Arabidopsis thaliana: one gene and its partner. Each later gene encodes a partner of the first gene's protein in a complex. Each region holds a gene or a part of one and is shown in the gene's direction. Other genes may lie near its edges.

Region 1 (3,063 bases):
ATATTATTGTAGCAACTGAAAAAAAAAAAGAATAAAGAACTATAATTATAAGTTATGAAAGGTAATCGAAAAGTATGCGGATTCAGTGGAAGGATGAAAGAAAGAGAGAAAAAATTGAATATTAATGATATATTATTCCAATTTGGAAAGTCTATGAGGTCACTGTAAGAAAAGCAATGTAATAAAGCATCAATACAGATTCATTCAGAATAATTAGATAAATCTGTTCCGAAAACAAAAAAAATTAAGAGCCTTGAGCCAATAAAAACTAAGAAAATTGACTCAAAAACAAATAAAAAAAATGAAATTCCCGATTTCATATAAGAGCTCCATTGTAGAATTCGGGCCTAATGATTAATCAAGAAGCGATGGGAACGACGGAACCCATGAATATAGAGGATTCTATTGAAAAATAAATCTTAGTAATTCATTGGACAGGATGGCGGAATAAACCAGATTATTATCTATTCTTATTTTTATTCAGAGATCTCCTGGGATAAACAACAAACTTAATATAGATATTGAAAGAGTAAATATTCGCCGGCGAATACTTTTTTTTTAATAAAAGTAATAAAAAACAAAAATTAAAAAGATAAAAGAAAATAAGGATTTGTTAGAATATTCTAACAAAAACGACATTCGAGATGATGATATTACGTTACGTTATTTTTAAATAAATAGAATTAATCTTGGATTCCATTTCGAAAAAGACATACACAAATTTAGAAGAGATCAGATGAAATTGAATATCATGATTAATAGAATTAATCATTAACTATATCTTAATACAAGCTTTTTTAGTCCTTTTATTCGCGAGGAGCTGGATGAGAAGAAACTCTCACGTTCAGTTCTGTAGTAGAGATGGAATTTCTAATTTAGAACCATCAACTATAACCCAAAAAGAACCAGATTTCGTAAACAACATCGAGGAAGACTAAAAGGAATATCTTCTCGTGGGAATCGTATTTGTTTTGGCAGATATGCTCTTCAAACACTTGAACCCGCTTGGATCACATCTAGACAAATAGAAGCAGGGCGACGCGCAATGACACGAAATGTACGACGTGGTGGAAAAATTTGGGTACGTATATTTCCAGACAAACCAGTTACAGTAAGACCTGCGGAAACGCGTATGGGTTCTGGGAAAGGATCCCCTGAGTATTGGGTAGCTGTGGTTAAACCAGGTAAAATCCTTTATGAAATGGGTGGTGTACCCGAAAATATAGCAAGAAAAGCTATTTCAATAGCGGCATCAAAAATGCCTATAAAAACCCAATTCATTATTTCTGAATAGGAATATATAATGAAAAAACTAAATAACATTTAAGGGTAAAAAGATTATAAGTTTTCTTTTTTTGACAAACAATATTTTTTTACTTCGTCCTTTGCATTAAAAGAAGAGATACAAAAAAAATGATATGATTCAACCACAAACCTATTTGAATGTAGCAGACAACAGCGGGGCTAGAGAATTGATGTGTATTCGAATAATAGGAGCTAGTAATCGCCGATATGCTCATATTGGTGACGTTATTGTTGCTGTAATCAAAGAAGCAATACCAAATACTCCTCTAGAAAGATCAGAAGTGATTAGAGCTGTAATTGTACGTACTTGTAAAGAACTCAAACGTAACAATGGGACGATAATACGATATGATGACAATGCCGCAGTTGTCATTGATCAAGAAGGAAATCCAAAAGGAACTCGAGTTTTTGGGGCGATCCCACGGGAATTGAGACAATTAAACTTTACTAAAATAGTTTCATTAGCTCCTGAGGTATTATAAGATCTAAATATCGATAGCGATAGTTAGTATCGGATTAAAAAAACAGGTATTGAAATAAAATTAATTAATAGATTCTGTATCACGCATATACCCTTAATAATAAAATATTAAGAATTTAATTCATATATTAATATATAATTCGTCTATATCTATATATAAATAAAAGAAAAAGAACATGTTGATTATATCAAAATTATAGAACAATAAGGAATTTTAACTTATCATGGGGAAAGACACCATTGCTGATATAATAACCTCTATACGAAATGCTGACATGAATAGAAAAGGAACGGTTCGGATAGGATCGACTAACATCACGGAAAGTATTGTTAAAATCCTTTTACGAGAGGGTTTTATCGAAAACGTAAGGAAACATCGCGAAAACAACCAATATTTTTTGATTTTAACCCTAAGACATAGACGAAATAAGAAAGAATCCTACAAAACGATTTTAAATTTAAAGAGAATAAGTCGACCGGGTCTACGAATCTATTCTAACTCTCAACGAATTCCACGAATTTTAGGCGGAATAGGAATTGTAATCCTTTCGACTTCTCAAGGTATAATGACAGACCGAGAAGCTCGACTAAAAAGAATCGGCGGAGAAATTTTGTGTTATATATGGTAATCCTTCTAATATAAAAATTAGATATCTGTAACTTACAATTTGTGAAAAAAGGGGGTTGTGTAATACCACCCCTGTTCAAAAAAGTTTCGGATGTTTTACTTCGAATGAAATTAAAGAAAAAATGAATTAATAAAAGTTTTCTTTCTTAATCACTTCCGAACGGCATGGTTCGATTTTGTTTAGATACTAAAGATTTTTTTTCGTTCATGCTTCTGAAAGGATTCGACATATTTTTGTATAGGTATACCTATAGGATAAAAAGGTAAAATTTTGAGTAAGTTCTTAAGTATAAGTTAATAAGGGGACAGCCATTTTCTAGACTCCATAATAAGTATTCAAATGAGTAAGTGTTTTTTCAATTTCAACCATTCCTTTCACGAAGATACAATTCAAGATTCAAAAATATCAAGAAACCTTTTTTTCGTCCACCAATAAATATATTCACAGAATTAAGGAATAACAACTATGAAAATAAGGGCTTCCGTTCGTAAAATTTGTGAAAAGTGTCGACTAATCCGCAGGAGGGGACGAATTATAGTAATTTGTTCCAACCCGAGGCATAAACAAAGACAAGGATAATCTTACTAAAGGAACTAAAGTAAAAGAAAAGGCACTTCCAAAGAGTTGGAAAAAAGGGTCTATTTTGAC
Region 2 (3,758 bases), on another chromosome or scaffold:
TACAGAGATTGATAAATCCTATGTTGTTCCCATTAGAATGTTCAAGGGTTTATGATTATTCAGGATTTCAAATCTGAATTATTGGACAAATAAACCCTAATTTCGTATAATTTGCATATCATCAGTACCGTCCGAGATGAGAAAGCTCAAGTATCACGAGAAGAAGCTTATAAAGAAAGTAAATTTCTTAGAATGGAAAAGAGAAGGTAACCATCGGGAAAACGAGATTACGTATCGATACCACATGGGCTCTCGTGATGATTACAAAAAGTTGGTACCTTTATTTGCTCTTAAAGCTCTGTTCTACTTATTCTTCTTCTTCTGGTTCGAGTGTTTTGTGATGAACAATGGTCTTTTTCTGATTCTTGAGAATGTTTTTTCTTTTGGGCAGGTATTCAGGATTGTGTAGGATGGTGCAGAAACTGACGAATATAATGAAACAAATGGATCCAGCAGATCCTTTTCGTATTCAGATGACTGATATGCTTTTGGAGAAGCTGTGAGTTTTTTAAATATATATACCAGTTTGTTCAAGTATAGAGCTTATTACAAGCAATGGTTCTTTGTTTTCTCTAGATTTAGGTCGTAGAACATGAGACTTGATCATTTTCTGCAGTTTTTTACACCGATCTTATCTTAGAGACCTCCTGTTGTTTTTCTTGTTAACCACTTTTAGAGATAATTAAAATTGGGGGTCCTTATGCTTCTATATAGATTTTAGGACCGTTGGTTTGAAATCCATTAGAGGTTGAATTCATCCTGGTAAAATGTGTGATCTAATGGGTTTCTTTCAGAATCTGTTTCTTGAATAGCTTCTACATAGAGCTAAGTTACTATATAATATAGGCTTATTGTATAGGGAAAAAGAGCCATCCTACTGAAACTTGTTGATTGCGTAGTTCCACTCTGCAATGAGAAAACTTGTTCTCTTAATGGCTGACTGACTTGTGTTTCTTACATGTACGCTTGAAACGGCAGATATAACATGGGTGTTATACCGACTAGGAAAAGCTTGACTCTAACTGAGCGGTTATCAGTTTCATCCTTCTGTAGGTAAGAGTATATGCAAGAGCCTATATAGGCAGTTACTTAAACCCTTGATAGCCAAATGTTCTCATTTCGTTTGCCTCATATCGGTTCTTTTTTTTTATTTGCAGGCGTAGGCTATCTACTGTGCTGGTTCACCTGAAGTTTGCAGAGCACCACAAAGAAGCTGTGACATACATAGAGCAAGGACACGTTCGTGTAGGACCAGAAACAATTACTGATCCAGCTTTCTTAGTAACTCGGAACATGGAAGATTTCATCACTTGGGTTGATTCATCCAAGATTAAACGAAAGGTTCTTGAGTACAATGACACATTGGATGATTATGACATGCTTGCTTAGCTTTGAGGAAGTTAAAAAAGACTGATGTTTTGTAAAAGCCAAAAAAGGTTCACTGCTACTACTATTGCAGGGTTTGTTTGGATTTTTGAATATGCAAATGTGCTACTATTCCCTTGTCTTTAATCTTACTTTCGATCTATTTGCAAGAAGAAACTTGAAAACAAATGTCATGAAAATATTGAATCTAACTCATATTATCGTCAAATTGTATAAGTTGGAGCCACAGAAATGGATGAACATAAAATATTAAATCTAATTATTATTTGACACTTCAAATTACAAAACCCGTTTGATTCGATCCGACCCGACCCGACCAGAAAATCGCAAAACCTGTGTTTTTGCTTTCCCCGGTCTCTCAAAATAAAATTGCTCGCTTAGAAGCTTCAAACGCAGCTGAAATGGCGGTTCAAGCAAATCAGAGTGCTTCTTTTGGGTTCAGAACAGCTTCACCTTCTCAGAAGCTCTCTTCGAAACCCATAGCTCATATCTCTCTATCGACGAAGCTCAAACCCTCTTCTCGACCATCGCTTTCGTGCTCTACTTGGAATCAGGGTCAAATTCCGGCGAGACACTCCTGTATCAATCCCGGAATATTCGCATATCCCCCCTCCAATCTTACCTTCTCTCATGAACTACCAGAATCTGAATCTCCGCCACTTGGAAAGGTCAGTCATCGTCAAAAAACTTCTCTTGGAACAAATTGGGGTTATAAGCTTGTTAGACAAAGTTGCAGCCTTTTTTTGTCATTTGAACGAAAATGTGGTAAACCAAATGTATTGTCTCCATCTATTTAATTGTGGTAGAAGAGGCAGTGTGTGCTAGTGTTAAACCTCCCTTATGTTGCTTCATTGTGAAAACTTTTGTGAAAGGAAGTAGAGATGTATGATTCTTCCCTTGTTATCGTCATCTTATATTGCAGAAGAAGATGCGTGTGTTAGTGAAGCCGCTAGAGAAACCAAAGGTGGTACTGAAGTTTGTATGGATGCAAAAGGACATAGGAGTTGCATTAGACCATATGATTCCAGGATTTGGAACAATCCCACTTAGTCCATACTACTTCTGGCCTAGGAAAGATGCTTGGGAAGAGCTCAAAACTTTGTTAGAGAGCAAGCCTTGGATCTCTGAGCTTCATCGTGTCTTCCTCCTTAACCAAGCTACAGACATCATCAATCTTTGGCAATCAAGCGGTGGAGATTTGTCTTGATTTGGATTCACCAGATATATCTGTTTATCATAGGTATCATTAACTTTTCAAAGTCTAAAGCTTTTGTGTTGTTTAGTCTATCATTAGTCCTCTGTGTAATCATCGAAACTCGAAAAAACTTCTATCATTAAAATGGCGAATTCAAAACAAGAAAACAAAAGATCATCATCATCATCATGATGAACGTTTAATCGAAGTACTTAGACATTTGAATCGATTTATTACTCATCCCACATTTCTCATAGAACACTTTGTTCTCCACACTACAATCTAGAATCACCTTATAGCAACCCATTGATTTGCAATGATCCATAAGAAACTCAACAACTTTCTTCCCCAGCTGTTTCCCGCGAAACCTTGAATCCACAACAACGTCTTCAATGTGCCCAGCTTTACCGCAATTCCTCAGAAACTTCTTCTCTATCATCACACTACCCGTAGCAGCGATTTTTCCCGAAGTTTCTTCTTCGATCACGCAGATCACGTGGTCGTCACCATACGATCTGATTTCTTCGAATCGCCGATCGAATTCTTCGTCTGTTACTGATCCGGTGACGGTTAGTTGACCTAGAAGCTCGATGAATCCTTTTCTCTTATCGGAGATCTCCAGTTTTCGGATCTTGAATGTCTCAGCCATAGAATCAGATCGGATAATTTTGAATTTGAGTTTTTTTTTATAAGATCCAGTCACTCACTGGAACTGAATATAATCACCCATAGAAAAACAAATGTGATAATTACGAAAAGGTACTTATTCTTTTAGATAGTTACAAAAAGTTTCCGAATCTCTTAATGAAGTCAAAATGGGCCATTTGTTTTTTAAATTGACTTTTGATGTAACAAAAGCAGCAAGATAAAAACTCCATAGTAAACAATATTTATTGAAATGACAACAAGCCAACAAGTGAAAATGCAGAGGAAAAAAGTAACAATTTAAAGCGGATGATACATATAGATTACATAATTGGAAATGTAAGGAAAGGATTGCTAATTTAGGGTTGATGGTGACTAGAAAAGGAAGGTGAAAGAGGAGGGATTCCCGGGATGAGAGGGGCCGGAGGGATTCCAGGGATAAGAGGGACCGGAGGGATGCCAGGGAGTCCAGGGACCGGAGGGAGCGGAACAGGGAAAGAAGGTGGTGGTGGCGGTAGTGAAGGCGGATTCA

The links. Proteins that work in one complex are often made in the same cells at the same time.
Region 2: rps8 (region 1) and PSRP3/2 share a complex: the UniProt entries of both Arabidopsis thaliana proteins name them as parts of the 30S ribosomal subunit.

What each region holds. Positions count from the first base shown.
Region 1 is NC_000932.1:79,420-82,482, reverse strand, and holds rps8 (ribosomal protein S8), read left to right. Parts: upstream 1-2,010; coding exon 2,011-2,415; downstream 2,416-3,063. Other genes in the region: rpl14 (ribosomal protein L14), read left to right, coding at 1,419-1,787; rpl36 (ribosomal protein L36), read left to right, coding at 2,881-2,994. UniProt on the Arabidopsis thaliana protein: One of the primary rRNA binding proteins, it binds directly to 16S rRNA central domain where it helps coordinate assembly of the platform of the 30S subunit.
Region 2 is NC_003076.8:5,141,313-5,145,070, forward strand, and holds PSRP3/2 (Ribosomal protein PSRP-3/Ycf65), read left to right. Parts: upstream 1-1,677; 5' UTR 1,678-1,787; coding exon 1,788-2,054; intron 2,055-2,308; coding exon 2,309-2,593; 3' UTR 2,594-2,780; coding exon of another isoform or gene 2,781-3,230; 3' UTR 3,231-3,294; downstream 3,295-3,758. Other genes in the region: AT5G15750 (Alpha-L RNA-binding motif/Ribosomal protein S4 family protein), read left to right, coding at 137-270, 392-499, 979-1,053, 1,158-1,389; GNA1 (glucose-6-phosphate acetyltransferase 1), read right to left, coding at 2,781-3,230; AT5G15780 (Pollen Ole e 1 allergen and extensin family protein), read right to left, coding at 3,586-3,758. UniProt on the Arabidopsis thaliana protein: Component of the chloroplast ribosome (chloro-ribosome), a dedicated translation machinery responsible for the synthesis of chloroplast genome-encoded proteins, including proteins of the transcription and translation machinery and components of the photosynthetic apparatus.